4 linked regions of the Mus musculus genome follow. The protein of the gene in region 4 purifies or fractionates together with the protein of the main gene of each other region. This does not show direct contact. Links are inferred from orthologs where the notes say so. Each region holds a gene or a part of one and is shown on either strand. Other genes may lie near its edges.

Region 1 (4,191 bases), on a different chromosome or scaffold from region 4:
GAAGAAAATACCTAATTAAAAAAAAGAGTATGAGGGTTGGTGAGATGGCTCAGTGGGTAAGAGCACCCGACTGCTCTTCTAAAGGTCTGGAGTTCACATCCCAGCAACCACATGGTGGCTCACAACCATCCGTTAACGAGATCTGACTCCCTCTTCTGGAGTGTCTGAAGATAGCTACAGTGTACTTACATATAATAAATAAATAAATTTTAAAAAAGAGTATGAACTAAAACAATATAGAAAAATAATAAAAGCAGAAACATAACAATAATTATAAGCAAACAGCAGAACCACCAGTTATGTAAAAAAACAAAAAACAAAAAAAAAACAAACAAAAAACCCCCACTTCTTATATTCCAGAAGCCTCTCTCCGACTTTTTGTTGTTGAGAGATTTACAGTTATTTCATGTATATCAATGCCTGCCTAGTACTCATGGAGACCAGACAGTTGGATCCCCAGAACTGGAGTTATAGACAGTTGCTAGCTGCCATGCCAGGAACTGAATCCAGGTCCTTTGCAAAAGCACCAATCACCGAGCAATCTCTCTGGCCCCTTATATAACCACTCTCGATCATACTCTGTCTAGCAGCCATCAACACAATGTCTTTAGAGTAACTTCTTGTTTTACCAACCAGGAAAGTCTTACTGTAATTTAGTCTGCTTCATTTAAAGCTGCACTTCATGTGTTCTTTCGCCAATACTGTCAGACTAAAGTCAGGCTGCTGTATCTGATTCTAGTGCTCCCATTGCTGTAATTCTGGGTTCTTTAACGTCTGCACTACTGACACTGGGGCATACAGACCTTCGGTTAGATGGCTGTCCTGTGCACTGCAGTATAATACTCGGTCTCTACCCACTAGATGCCAAGGAGCGCCTTCACTGTGACAATCAAGTGTCTCTAGATATTGCCAAACCGCTTCCACTTGAGAGCTGATACTCTAAATCTAATTCACACTCACAACCCTACTCTTTATATGAGTACACTGAAGCTGTCTTCAGACACACCAGAAGAGGGCATCAGATTCCATTACAGATGGTTGTGAGCCACCATGTGGTTGCTGGGAATTGAACTCAGGACTTTCAGAAGAGCAGTCAGTGCTCTTAACCGCTGAACCATCTCTCCAGCCCACAACCCTACTCTTAAGACATTTCCTTTTACGAACACGAGTTTTGCTCTGGCCTACGACAAATAATGATCTTACAAGCATTCTTATACACGTTGCCAGGAGATGAGAGCACGTGCATTTTTCCGGGATAAGCACTTCTGTGTCATTCCAGGGGACATTTAAATTTGATAATGAATGGTAATGACTTTATAAACCAAAGTGGTTGTACCATAATGAAAATTCCTCTAACATAACAATCTCAAAAGACTTACATATAACTCAAAAAAGAAGTTTTCTTTTTGTGGGGTTTTTGTTGTTTTTTCAAGACAGGGTTTCTCAGTGTAGCTCTAGCTGTCCTCAAACTAGCTCTATAGACCAGGCTGGCCTTGAACTTGGAGATCTGCTTGCCTCTGTCTCCCCAGTGCTGGGATTAGAGGTGTGTGCCCATCACTCACAAACTATTAAGAGAAAGAACTATGAGGATGTTTTCCCTCCCAGCCAACTCAAGGGTCCTTCATCTTGCTATTGTCCTGCAGATCCTTCCTCCTCTAAATCATCGTCCAAACCCACCTTATGTGGAAGGAGAACACCGCAGCCCCATTCCTGCTCAATCTTCCTTTTCACTACGTTTAAACAGCAGCCTGTCAATCCTATGCCCCCAAATTGCAAGCCCAGAAGCAGCCCCAGAGCCTTGGCAGTCACTCCTTCACAGAGCAGCCAAGCACTCTCTACACACATCAACGTGCAGTAGTGATTCCCTGAAAGAACAGTAAGAGCCAAGCCTCAAAACCTCCTAAGCCCGAGAGGCGCAAAGGCTTAAAATAAGAGCAGGGGGTATAGTTCTGTTGGCAGAGTGCTTGCCTGGTAGGGACACATGCTGGGGTCAGGCCTCAGTGCTAAGAAGGGAAGGGGAAAGGGAAGGCGCAAGGAAAAGAGAACGGGACGAGGCGGAGAGGGAGATCACAATCTAGTCTCGGCTCTCATACTTGGGCAGGTGATAGGTCCTCTCTGGGGACCAGTTCTGCCATCTTCAAACGTGGGTTAGAACCAGAGGCTGGAAGTGTAGCTCAGTCGGTGGCAAGCTTGCCTCCGCACCAAGCTCTCACTTCCATCCCTAACATTTTCTAAATTGAGCCCAGTGGCGCGCGCTTGTAATGCCAGCGTTCAAGAGGTATGTGGAAGGAGGATCAAAGTCAAACAAAATCCTCCTCGGGTACATAGAGAGTTCGAAACCAGCCTGGGCTACACAAAACCTGTCTCAAAAAAGGTGGATTTTAAAATGACCTCATACGTTCATTCAGCGACAGAATGAGGTAAAAAGAATTCCATCAAGTCGAGCTGGAGGATGAAGCCGGGATCGCGTCAGGGCCTCAGAGGCTGCTGTCAATTTGGGTGGGTAGGTAATTTTGAGGGTTCCCCGTTGTCCCCAGCAACAGAACCGGAAGGACCGCTGACGTCAGCCACCAGAGGGAACCTGCGGCCGGTACTCAGGGTCACTGGGGTGACAGGACTGCAGAGTGGGCCCCTGGCCTGTCTAGGAATATCGGTCGAACACCGAGCCTGCGAGAGGCTCTTCGCGCCCACTTGCTCACCCGATTGGGGTACTCCTTCTCCACACAGTCCCCACACATCGTCACGCAGTTTTCGGAGAACGACCCCAGCGACACCCGGAAGGCGAAACCTCGCGAGAGTTGAGATATCGATTTTGTCGCACACGATCTAAGGACTCCACAGCTGGCTAAAAGTCTCCGCCCATAGCAACGGTTGTTAGGCGGTCTCCGGGTAAGGAGGGTGCACCGAGGACTGGACTCAAAAATCTTCAGGTATTGAAAAGATCTGAGGACTCAAAGAAGTGTCGAAAAGAGGAAGAGGCTTTGAGCCTGAAAGAACTTCTAATAGGCGCCTTCTTGAATTCTGATTAAAAAAGAATTACAGAAGTACAGCAAAAAGGGGAATTGTTTCTTCTTGCCTCCATTTTTACCAGACTCAAAAAACCTGAAATGACAGTTTAAATACCATTTTGTGCTATAATAACAGATAAGAGATCAGACTTCAGAGAAGGAGTAAGCTGGTGTTTGGGAAGAGAAGCTTAGAGCGCTGTCGAGAACCTACTAAATTATTTAAATTAGATTCTTATCATACGCCTTGTACAAAAATCAATTCAAAAATGGATCAAAACCCATTATCTAAAACAGGAAACACTGAAACTTCCAGAAGAAAACATAGGGGATAGTTGTCAAGATATTGGGTTGGAGGGGCTGGAGAGATGGCTTAGCCATTAGGAACACTGAATGCTCTTCCAGAGGACCCAATTTCACTTCCCAGAACTCACATGGCAGCTCACAACTGTCTGTAACTCCAAGATCTGACACCCTAACACAAACACACATGCAGGCAATGTGCATAAAATAAAAGTAAATTTTTTAAAAAAGACACTGCTTTGGACAAGAACTTTTTAATTAGCACAGGAACACTAACACTAACAGAAACTAACCCTTAGTATCAACGGACTACACGAAAAGTTTCTATTCAGCAAAGGACACAATTAGCAGAAAAAAACAGTCCTCAGCATGGGAAACATCTTTACCAGCCATATTTCAAACAAGAGGCAAATATCCAGAATTTATAAGAATTGCAGAAACTAAATACCAAGGAAACAAAACTGCCAGTCAATAAATGGGCAAATGAATTGAATAGACACTTTTCAAAATTAAAAAAAAAAACAAAACATGGCCAATAAGTGTTCATTGTCCTCAAACATCAGGGAAGTGCAAATTAAAATTATTTTTTAGATACCCTCTCACCCCTGTCGGAATGGCTCTCATCAATAAATCTGATGACAAATGCTGGGAAGGATGTGGAGAGAAAGGAACTGTTAGTCACTGTTGGTGGGAGTGCAAATTAAAATACAGACATTGTAGAATCAGTTTGGTGACTACTCAAAAAGTTAAAACTAGAATCACCATATGAACCTGTTATTCTATTCCTGGGCATTTACCCAGAACACATAGGAATATTTACACCCCTGTGTTTATTCCTGATTTATTTACTCTACCAAGAATTAAGATCAACCTAGTTGTCTGT
Region 2 (4,140 bases), on a different chromosome or scaffold from region 4:
TCCAGTTTCGTTCTTTTCTAAAGGACAGAGCAGAGCGGCCCAGCTTGATAGTGTGTGCCCACAGCCTATAATCCCAACACTCAGGAGGCAGGAGGATGGCTGCAAGTGTAGGGGGCATGCTGGTGTACGTAGTGAGTTTCCGGTTAATCAAAGCTATAGAGATCCGTCTCAAATGCATCCCAACCACCACCAAAAAGGGAGTGGGAGGGAGGAGTAGAAAGAGAGACACATACAGACAGACAGACTCCAGGTTTGTTCCTAGGCTGGCCAGAACTCCTTGGTCTTAAGGTCCTCTGCTTCAGCATTCCCAGCCACTGGGACCATGGGCATGCACATTCTATGTAGATCTCTGAGAAGGCCAAAACTGTTTGTGGTGATGGCTGTACAACTCTGAATACATCGATAACCACTGAACCCTTCAATCGGGTGATCACGTGTAGGGTGAAATATCAATAAAGCTGATAGAAATCAGACGGGGACAGAGAAAGCCACTCAGCCCCACACAGCCAGCACGAAGCTCAGTCAGAGAGGACCTAGTCACAGGATGGAGGAATCCACCATCTTGAGGCCCTGAACCTGATACCTATAGCGCAGCGGAGCAAAGGTGGCTGGGTCAGGAGTTGTTATGGAAAGGGCAACCCCCACCCCATGCCTATGGAGGCCAGTGCACAGACGGAGTAGGCTAGCCTGCCCAGGACTCCATTAAGAGACAAGCTGGTAGGCAGACACGACCATGCCCAGGACAAAGACCAGGGGCACAAGGAGGTAAGGATGCTCAGGACGGTGCGGAGTTATGCCAGGTGCCTTCCCGACTAACAGGTCAAAGTCTGAAGGGCCAATTAAATTCCCTGGCATTTTACAAGGTGTTAAAGGCATAACTGTCATAAGCCCTCAATTAAAGGTCAGCTCTAGGGCCAGGGCTAAAGTTGGGTGGAGAAGCTGTCTAGCAAGGCCCAGGGTGCTCTGGAGACCTAGTACCACAATCAGTTCTTCAACCCCACCTCTGCACTCTTCTACATCTGAAGCTCCCACAAAAGCTGCTTCTCCCTCCTTCAAACTTCTGGTGACAACCTTCTCAGTCAAACAGAGAAGCAGTGTTGACTCAGGGCCTGAACTGGTGACTCACTCTGGGTGAGCCAGCAGAGGCCTGACCCCTGGTGGACGCTGGGGGAGGGGGGTGGGGGGTGGGCTGTAAGTTCTGACTGTGAGGGTCTACTGGGTGGTGAGGACTTACTGGAGCTTGGGCTACTTACTGGCAAGGCCCAGGCAGTGCAGCCAGGGCAAACCACTAGGAAGGGCTAAAGCCTCTGCTTGCTTCACTGGGCACAACAGGGAATTCCTTCTCCCTGGCCACAAGTCCCCATCCCTCACACGGACCAAGAGGAAACAAAGGAACATACCAGGCCCAAACACCTCTGCAGTGACTGGGCACACACCCAGGAGGAGGGGCGGCTGGATTCCAGGCTCCTTAGCTCCAGGAAGCAAGCTAGGCGCTTGGATTTCCATTGACCCCATTGCAAATTTCCCTCAGGTGCCCAGGCCTTTCCTCAGATGTTGGCCTCTCAGCCCAGTCCTGAGGACTAGAGACCAATGCTGGAACCCGGCTGCTCAGCCTTACCAACTTCCTACAGGTCCTTGGACCCTCATAATTCCACTGGGTTCTGGAACCCCAGGCTCCCCAGGCCCACCAGCTTCCCCCAGGCCCTCATCATTCCACTAGATTCTAGAAGCAAAGTCCCCTTACCCCCACCAGCATCTCCCAGGCCTCAGGTCTACATTCTTTTCCCAGGTTCTGGTACTCTGACTACCACAGACCCATAATTATGCACTCTGACCTAGAACACCCCAAACCGACTTAGCACTTCATCCTGGGTTCCTGCTCTGAAACCCCACCCCTTTCTTTATGTCCAAAATTCCTAGGGCCTGTGTCCTAGGGCCCGCCCCCTCAGAGCCAGACCGGCTGTGCACCCCTAGCTACTCCACAAATGACGGGATGAACGGCTCAGCATTGGTGTCCGAAACCTCCGATCCTTGCCCAATACCCGGGGCTCCGACGTCCCCATCCAGACCCTGCGACCCGGGACTTTGAGCCTCCAATCCTGGCCCTACACCCCGAATCCCGAATCCCAGCGCCACACCACAACCCCAACCCCCCGATTTCGGACCCACACCGCGAACCCTTGGCCTTGACTCTGCACCCCGGTTCCCCCTCCTAGCACTGCACTCCAACCCCCGATCCTAGCCCTGCAGCCCGGGTCCCGACGCCCGACCCCAGCCACACACCCCAAGTCACAATCCCGGCCCCACACCGCGAACACCGGGTTTTGGCCTGGAATCCTGACTCAGGGGTCCCAGCCCTACACTCCGAGGCCTCGACCAACAGATCCTGGCCCTGCACCCCTGGGCCCCGACCCTGCCCCGCACTCGGATCACCTGGGCCCAGTCCAGACCCTGTACCCCAACCTCCCGTCCAGGCCCGGCACCCTGACAACTCATCATCCCACACCCTTCCTGTCCCCCAGCAGCTCTCTAGGACGCCCATCCCCCGCTCACCGCACCAGCAGGGTCCACCAGGCTCCCGCCGCGCCCCGCCGCTCCCTGTGCCCGCTCACTTCCGGTTCCGCGGAGGCGGGGCCGCATCCGGGGCCACGCAAGATCCCGCCCTATTCCAGGCCGTCCCCGCCCCGTATTCCTGTTAGCTGATCAAGAAAGCAGGATACACAGTTCCAGGACTCATAGGCAGCTCGGCCGCCAGTCAGCTGCGGAGATCCGATTTAGAAACACCCGTCAAGCCCTGTCCAACACACATTCACCCTCAACCCAGCTTCCAACCATGTATCCACCCTGCAACTCTCTACCCACGCATGGATCTACACAGCATCATTCACTCCCCTGTCAATCTTCTACCCACCAATCCACCAATCTGTCCTTCTGCCCATCTACCCATACACCCACTCATCTAGCCATACATCTGTTCATCCATTCTTCCATCTATCTGCTTCCTATTGTGATCAAAAAACTGAACCCTGTCTCGAAAAACAAACAAAACAAAACAAAACAAAAAGAACTGATCAAATACAGCTTGGGGAGAAAACTGCTTATTTGGCTCATAAATTATAGTCCATCACTGAGGGAAGGAAGTTAGAACAGGAACTCAGGCAGGGCAGGAACTGAAACAGAGACTATGAAGGAGTGCTGCATACTGGCTTGCTCAGCCTTTCTTTCACATCCCAGGTCTACCAGTGTAAGGGTGGCAACCCACAACGGTGGGTTGGGCCCTTCTGAATCAATCAGTAACCAAGAAAATGCCCCCACAGACTAGCCTACAGGCCAGTCTGATGGCAATTCATCAACTGAGGTTTCCTCTTCCAAGATTACTCTAGTGTCAAGTTGACAAAAACTAACCAACATGTCACCTATACACCCATGTGTCAACCATCCATCTACTTATCTATCCATCCACTCATCTATCTGTCCTAGTTGACATTAACTGTCAACTTGAAACAGCCTAGAATCACATTTTTTTTTAAAAAAATCTCAAATGTGTACTTGTCTTATTTAGGTTATTCTGTGGGCATGATTGTCTTGATACAGGAGGGCCAACCCACTGTGGTCCATCCCTAGACAGGTGTCCTGGACTGTATAACAAAGCTAGCTAATAAGGCAGCGGCCAAGTGGATCACTTAGAGGCCAGTCTGGTCCTGATCAGCCAAGTGAGGGATTCTGTCTCTCCTGCCCCCCTCTCCAGAAGGAGGAGGAGGAGAAAGGAGATGAAAGAGGGAGGTTAGGGATGTAATTCAGTGGTAGAGTGCCTGTCTAGTATGTACAGGGCCCTGGTACCAACCTTAGCACCACAAGGCAGAAAACAAAAGGCTAAACTGTCAAAATTTATGAATAGATCAGGAAGGAAAAAGAGATGTCAGGTGTCAGAGGAGAATGTTCCCATGTGTGTGTGCACAATTCACATGTAAGTGTGCATTCAACTGCATGAGCACACATACAGAGGTCCAAGGACACATTCTGGCATCTTCCTCAGGAAGGCCACTCACTGCTTGAGACAGGATCTCTCTGGCCTGCAGTTCATCCACTAGGCTAAGCTGGCTGGTCAGCAGGCCCCAGAGATCCTCCTGTCTTTGCTTC
Region 3 (4,148 bases), on a different chromosome or scaffold from region 4:
CTGATAGCTCCCCGACACAGGGAAGCCATCGGATGGAGCACAAGCCCAGGGGCCTTCAGCACCGGGTCAGTAGGCTGAGTTTGAATGTAGCTCGCACTGGGCCACCCCACCCCCACCCCACCCCACCCCGGGAGAGGTCAGGCACTTCAATTACTCTGTTTCTAAAGCACCGGTTTGTGACATATCAAAATACTAAATGAATGTTGTGCTCTCGTAAAAAAACTGAGTCTTCCACACCCCCACTTATTTAGCTAAGAAACTAATAACATCATTTCAAACATTCTATCACATAAGCACTAGAGCGACTCCCCACACAGCTGGAGTGGATCCCAGAAATAATGTTTAAAAATGGTATTTAGCAATCCGGAATCTAATCCTAATTTATACACAGACACAAATACTGATTAGCGTGATCTGGTCGGAATAACAAATAACCATGAAAACTCTAATGCTTCTGCAGTGACATTTCTCCAGGATATTTATGTTAAATAAATTCATGACACTTAAGAGACTGGAAAGATGTGACTAAGATTAAGTTAGAAGCACTTGCTGCACTTCAAGAAAACCCACGGTCAGTACTCCACCTGGGCAGGTGGCTCACAACCCTCTGCTACTCCAGCTCCAGGGAATCTCATGTCGCTGGCCAGCAAGGGTGCACATATATGCACATAACCACCAACAACACCAACACACACACACACACACACACACACACACACCTTAAAATAATAATTTTTAAAAACCTTGTAAATTCATCAGGCTTTAATGTACTGTCCACAAGTAAAATACACATGCGCTCGCGCACATGCGCACGCACGCACACAAACACACACACACAGAGAAAACATGTTCTGATTTCTTAAAAAAGTATGTGTCTGTGTGTGTGACTGTCAACTACCAAAAGACAGAGCACTTGTAGAGCTATGATATAAAGCAATTCTGCTCTACCACATTTTTTTTCCTGTTTATATATGTTTCAGTTCTAGTTACTATTGCTGTGATGAGACACCAGGACCAAAACAGCTTGGGGAGGAAAGGGTTAATTCAGCTCACACTTCCACATCACAGTTCATCATCAAAGGAAGTCAGGACAGGAACTCTAGCGGGCGGGAACTTGGAGGCAGGAGGCTGATGCAGAGGCTGATGGAGGGGTGCTGCTTACTGTCTTGCTCCCCATGGCTTGGTCAGCCTGTTTTCTTATAGAACGCAGGACTGCAAGCCCAGGGGTGGCCCCGCCCACAATGGGCTCAGCCCTCCCACCATGAATCACCAATTAAGAAAAGGCCCCACAGGCTTTTCTATAACCTCAGTCTCACTTTTTCTCAACTGAGGCTTCCTCCTCTCTGATGACTCTGGCTTGTGTCAAGCTAGACAGAAAACCAGCCAGTACAATATGTAACCGCCGCCTAGATTCGATGTTTAATGTCAGGCTGGCTATCCAAACATCACTGCGTGTGACACACACTCCCCAAGTCTCCCTAGGTCAGTGTTCTCTAACATGTCCAGAACCAAGCACTGTGTTCAGCTGCTCTGAAGCTGCGGACAGACAGGAATATGAACTACCATTTGCCTTCACACCCGAGAAGGAGGCAGGAAGCAACTACTTGTACTTCATCATGTTCTTCCCTCTACTAGCAGGCCCTGGTGTCAGGGTGCTGCCAGACAAGGACAATAAGACGCTTTATTATATAGGGTGACTAAGAGCCTCGCAAGTACTGTTTTAGAATATAATCCCGGTAGGGAAGGCCACGGGATGGGAGTACAATTATTTCGTGCCAACCATTTCCAAAACTAAACATATTGTGGCCCTGCGAATAAGCACGCTCTGCGGTCAATTCTCTTTCAAATGCTTACAGGAAGCAATTCCGGGAGAGACGAACAACTTGCAATTTGCTTCTCACTCTGAATCCCACGACCGAAATGTGTAGAGCAAGCCGTTCTGACACCACAAAACAAGGGCAGCCTACATGAAGGCCAAATATAGGATGTGATTCTAAACCACGACGGAGAGAAAGCCTGCATTTCCTTTTCCAGCCTGCAAAAAAAAACCCTTTGAACACTCCCAAAAAAGGACGTCGGGGCCGGCACCTCCCTCCGGGAGGAAGCCCCTTTCTTCTCCGAAAGCCCTGCAGCCGGCTACTTCCCCCCAGCTCATTCACATCACTGGAGATAGATAGGGCTGCTGTGCGTACGCCCGCCGGGGGACCGGCGGCAGAGCTGGGCTGGGCGTCCCCACCCTCCACCTCTGATGTCATCCTAGCCATCTCGGCGCGGCTGAGCCCCACCTGCCCCGCGGGTCACTAGGTTCCGCACCCGGGACAGGGTTCCTCCTCCAGGCCACGCCACTGCAGCCCGCCCCCGCCCCAGGTCTTCAGGGTCCAGGAGGCCATGCACTGCGAGCCAGGCGGAGCCCCGCCCGGGCGCGCCCCGCACACCGGGGGTCCCCCGCGGACCCAGCCCCACGTGAGCGCTCGGCCGCAGGCTCTTCGCAGCGCTCAGACACCGCCTCACGGCTGCCGGGCCCACGGCTGCCCGCAGACGGCCATTCCCCAGCCGCAGCGCCCGGGGCATGCGCGTGCGCCCCGCACCACTCGGCGCCGCCGGCTCCTGTCAGCCGAGAGCTTCACACGCGGGGTCCCGGAGGCCGGCCCGCCCGCCCCGGGCTCGCTCCGGAGCTGCCCCGTCCTGAGCGCGCGCTGCTTACCAGAGCCCGGGTGCCTGAGGCGCCGCCGAAGTCCCTGCTGCAAAGCCCCGCGAAGCCTCCAACCGCTGCCGCCTCCCGCCTGGCACTGAGCGCCGCGCGGGGGAGGGGCGCGGCCGCCGCTGCCCAGGCCTTCGCGCGCGCGGGCCCCGCCCCCGCGCCGGGGCCGCGCCCAACCAGCGCCGCCGAACCACGCTTCACCACGCCCACTTCCGGAAGGTCCCGGTTAGATGCCCGGCTCTCCTTAGAGCGCCCCCTGTGGTGGCGCGGGGAGGTGCAAGGAGACTCGGAGCCCACGCCCGCTTTCCGGGGCACTTGAATGGCCGGGTGGCCACGCCCACGGGCTCCTTCCAGCCCCACCCAGGTCTTTAGAACCAGAGCGGGCGTTCTTAAGCTCCACCCACGGCCCTGCAGAGCCTCTCTATGAGGATGGTCGTTTGAGCGCATCTAACTGCCCACCGAGTCCGTGAGCAGGGCTTGGTTTCCCCCCGCCCCCAAAACCTAGCTTCCCCCAGTTGAGCGCCGCAAATCCCCGCTCGGATTTCCTGAAGACCCGGGGAACCTATGATCATCCTATTTGCTGTACCTCAAGCCCCGCCCACAGCCCTGAGCGTACTTAAACCGTAAGCCCCGCCCCAAGTTCTTAGCCCCACCTCCATCAGGGCTGGTTCAACCCTCTCACCCACGCTCTCTCCCACTACTCTCCAGGGCAGGGTGGCAACCCTTGGGCTGGACCACACCTATGAGAGAGAGCTAAGGAGAAGCAATGAAGACTCCCTGGCTAAAGTCCCTCCATATGAGCACGTGGATATGTGTCCTAGCCCTGTTACTCTCAAATGAAGTGACCCAGGGACCATTTCACTCACCTCTTTGGATTTCAGTTTCCTAATCTTGAGTGTAAGGTTATCCCACTATTAGCCAAAGCCCCTTCAGAAATATCAAGCTTTGAAATACCAAGATCTAAGGAAACTGCGTCCAGAGATCTGGGCCAGCTGAGGGGTTGGGCCATTTATTTCCCAAAGCAAGGCATCTTTACAATTCGCAGAGGGATGAATTTTCACTTTGTTTTAGCCTCAGAGATGTCCAGGAATCTGTGGTCGGCATTCAGTGGTAGAACCCCTGAATTCTTGTTGCAGGAATTAAGATAAACTGCCACCTCAAAACAGAAGGCACACGCCTTTAGTCCCAACACTGAGGAGGCTGAGGCAGGTGGATCTCCGTCAGTAGTTCCAGGCCAGCCTGGTCTACATACTGAGTTCCAGGACATCCAGGGATATGTAAAGAAACTCTGTCTCTAAATAAGTAAATAAAATAAAATTAGGCAAAGTGTGTGTGTGTGTGTGTGTGTGTGTGTGTGTGTGTGTAAATTATGTGTTGTGTAAATCTAGGTCTACCAGAATGAAGCAGCTTGCTCAGCAAGTTTTTACTCTCTGCAAAGCTCAATTTT
Region 4 (3,500 bases):
TGTGTGAGAGAGAGAGAGAGAGAGAATACACACACACACACACACACACACACACACACACAAAAACACATTTTATTCTGTAAGTTTTGTTACTCTAGGAAACCCTAACATAGGGGGTATCATAAGTGAAAAGTTTAAGAAGCCCAGACATAAACTATGATCACCATTACAGATAACAGAATAGAAACGTTCCCCAAAACTAAAGACGGAACTAACAAACAATTCAGCAATCCACCACTAAATACATATCTCAAAGAATAAAAAAGAGCCGGGCGTGGTGGCGCACGCCTTTAATCCCAGCACTTGGGAGGCAGAGGCAGGTGGATTTCTGAGTTCGAGGCCAGCCTGGTCTACAAAGTGAGTTCCAAGACAGCCAGGGCTATACAGAGAAACCCTGTCTCGAAAAACCAAAAAAAAAAAAAAAAAAAAAAGAATAAAAAAGAAATTGGAATACACAATAGAATGTAATTCTCCCTTAAAAAAAGAAACCTTGTAATTTGTAGCAATGAAGACAGACATGGAAGAAATTATGTTAGATGAAGCCAGGCAGAGAAAGGCAAATACTGCATGGCCCTATTTACATGGAATCTGATGCTGAATCCAGTAGCAGAGGAGAGTAAGATGGTTACCAAGGACAACGAGCTGGTGACTCAACAGAGGAGCTGCTAATCAAAAGCTATACAAATTCAGTTAGATAGGAGGCCTATCACCAAACACAGATTCTGTTTCTAAAATATATCTGAAAAGCACTGGGATTTTAAGAGTGCTCATCAAAAAAGTTGTATGTACAGTAATGTATACTCAATTAAAATTCAAGACATCATGTTATATATCATAAACAGAACTTTTTTTGTTTTTTTTTGTTTTTTTGGTTTTTTGGAGACAGGGTTTCTCTGTATAGCCCTGGCTGTCCTGGAGCTCACTTTGTAGACCAGGCTGGCCTCGGAACTCAGAAATCCACCTGCCTCTGCCTCCCGAGTGCTGGGATTAAAGGCGTGTGCCACCATGCCCGGCTCATAAACAGAACTTTTGTCAATTAAAAAAAAAAAAAAAAAAAAAACTTAAGCTGGGCTTGGTGGCACATGCCTTTAACTCCAGCAGAGGCAGGAGGATCTCTGAATTCAAGGCCAGCCTATTCTTAGGACTACACAGTGAGACCCTGTTTAAAAAAAGAAAAAATTAACTAGCTACATTTAAAGATCTGGTGAGATGGTTCAGTGGGGAAAGATACCTCCTGCCAATCCTGATGACTTCAGGTTGATCCCTGGAATCCAAATGGAGGAAGGAAATAAAGCCAACTCCTGACTTTCCACAAGTGTGCCATGGAACCCACCATCACCATCAAAACATACACACCAGATAACTAACTAGCTAGCTAGCTAACTGAAATAGAATTAAAACACGTGCAGTGCTGTAAATCAAACCCAGTGTTTCATGTACTCTAACTGAATTTGTTAGCATTCTTTCTAGTCTCTGCCGAACAGTTACCTAGCAACAGCCAGGTAGGTCTGGCTTGCTACAAAAGGGACTGTTTGGCTTCCCTTCTCTCTCTGACACCCCCTCCCCCATGTTCCTGGCCAGCCTCTTCTCTTCTCTTTCTCTCTCTCCTTTCCTTTTTCCTCTGCCTCTACTCCCTTCTCAACCCCCCATCCCATGCACCCAAATAAACCCTATTCTATACTGGCTGCTACCTCAGTGGGGATTCCTCCCATTTAACCACACCATGCTCTACAAAACATATCCTTGGTTTTACAAAACATCAGATTATACCTCTATCCAAAAAGGAGATACAAGTTAAGGAGAAAATATCATACACCTTTAATCCCAGCATTTGGCAGAGAAGCAGAGAGGCAGAGAGGGAGAGACAGACAGACCTCTGAGTTTGAGGCCAGCCTGGTCTACAGAGCAAGCCAGGGCAGCCAGGGCTATATACAGAGAAACCCTGCCTTAAAACTCAAACAAACCAAAAACAAAACTAAAACCATTTTGTTCTTATTGTTTTAAACCATGTCTAGATGTGTTGTGCATCTGCACGGCAATGCTGTGTGCATAAATGCAGGCTCCCACAAGAGGCCAGTGCTGCTGAGTCACAGGCTCAGAGATGTGAGCTGTCTGATATGGGTGCTAGGAATGGAACTCAGGTCCTCTAGACAAACAGCAAATGCTCTTAACTGCTGAGCCATCTCTGTGGCCTATCCGTGTCTTATAAATGACTTGGAAATGCTGTCTACTGTACCTGGTATCAATGTCGGCTGCCTGGATTGTGTTAAAAAGCAGTTCAGCAACACCAACCCCCTCGACATTGATCAAATGAGGCTGAAATAAAGCCTCTGGTGCTTCAAATCGTTCTCCTCCAACCTTAATGATACGTCCATCTGGAAGCTAGAAAGAAATAACCAGGTGTCAGCAAAACCACAACTTCTCTGCATTCTCTGCACAATGAGTGTTTTAAATACATCTGGCCTGCAATCAAAATTATGTAAAAGCAGTAAGACTTCCTAAAGTATTCTTAGGTGAAACAAAATAACTCAAATGATAATGCTAGCATCATACATACTCTATTGATCGTTTTTCTTAGTAGCTAGCAATGTACTCAAGAAGAGGCAGCATCTCAACAAGGCAGAGAGCAAAAACTGACCCCCAAAAGCTATCCTTTGATTTACACATGTGCACACACACATTTTCTTTCTTAAAAACCAACCAACCGGGCTGGTGAGATGGCTCAGTGGGTAAGAGCACCCGACTGCTCTTCCGAAGGTCCGAAGTTCAAATCCCAGCAACCACATGGTGGCTCACAACCATCTGTAATGAGATCTGACTCCCTCTTCTGGAGTGTCTGAAGACAGCTACAATGTACTTACATGTAATAAATAAATAAATCTTTAAAAAAAAAAAAAAAAAAAAAAAACCAACCAACCAGCCAAGCCAACCAACCACAGCCGCAGCTGGGCATGATGCATAACCTGCAATGCCAATGCTCTTGAGGCAAGAGGATCATGGATTCAAGGCCGGCTTGGGCTGTTACCTATTGAGACATTATCTCAAAACAAAACAAAAATTTAAGGAACACTGATTTAGAAAATTTTTTATGCTACTGCATCTTAAATAACTTTATCTAAGTGGTAACTATAACCTTAACTTAAGCCAGTAAGATTTAGACAGTCCAACACTTTAACATGACTTACGCAGAAATCCCTTACCTGCTGAACTCTGGTCTGTATGGCTGGTTTGTCTGCCTCAGGCTTACAGAGAGAGATTCTCCTGTGCCTGGCTCCCAAGTGCTGAGATTACAGGTGGGCACACTGTGCCTGGCAGTCATTCAGAGTCTGAGGCTGACCTATATACACAGGTGGGCCTCAAACTCAGTAACGTTTCAGCCCCATATCAAATTTACTGAAGTTACAGGTGGGCACCACCATGTCTCAGGTTTTGTTTTTGTGGGGGTGTTGGAAAGGGGAAAGCGGGGTTAAGATGGCCTGGCTATTAGTCCAGGCTGAGCT

Evidence for each region.
Region 1: the proteins of Actr2 (region 4) and Churc1 purify together in Homo sapiens (affinity purification with mass spectrometry; 4 studies listed by BioGRID and IntAct, with this or other methods). This does not show direct contact. The link is inferred for Mus musculus from reciprocal best matches to the Homo sapiens genes ACTR2 and CHURC1.
Region 2: the proteins of Actr2 (region 4) and Cttn purify together in Homo sapiens (affinity purification with mass spectrometry; 3 studies listed by BioGRID and IntAct, with this or other methods). This does not show direct contact. The link is inferred for Mus musculus from reciprocal best matches to the Homo sapiens genes ACTR2 and CTTN.
Region 3: the proteins of Actr2 (region 4) and Coro1c fractionate together in Homo sapiens (co-fractionation; 3 studies listed by BioGRID and IntAct, with this or other methods). This does not show direct contact. The link is inferred for Mus musculus from reciprocal best matches to the Homo sapiens genes ACTR2 and CORO1C.

Annotation. Positions count from the first base shown.
Region 1 is NC_000078.6:76,764,147-76,768,337, reverse strand, and holds the start of Churc1 (protein Churchill), read right to left. Parts: upstream 2,801-4,191; 5' UTR 2,739-2,800; coding exon 2,700-2,738; intron 1-2,699. UniProt on the Homo sapiens protein: Transcriptional activator that mediates FGF signaling during neural development. Plays a role in the regulation of cell movement.
Region 2 is NC_000073.6:144,468,136-144,472,275, forward strand, and holds the start of Cttn (src substrate cortactin), read right to left. Parts: upstream 2,801-4,140; 5' UTR 2,554-2,800; intron 1-2,553.
Region 3 is NC_000071.6:113,905,907-113,910,054, forward strand, and holds the start of Coro1c (coronin-1C), read right to left. Parts: upstream 2,801-4,148; 5' UTR 2,705-2,800; intron 1-2,704. UniProt on the Homo sapiens protein: Plays a role in directed cell migration by regulating the activation and subcellular location of RAC1. Increases the presence of activated RAC1 at the leading edge of migrating cells.
Region 4 is NC_000077.6:20,074,952-20,078,451, forward strand, and holds part of Actr2 (actin-related protein 2), read right to left. Parts: intron 2,383-3,500; coding exon 2,237-2,382; intron 1-2,236. UniProt on the Homo sapiens protein: ATP-binding component of the Arp2/3 complex, a multiprotein complex that mediates actin polymerization upon stimulation by nucleation-promoting factor (NPF).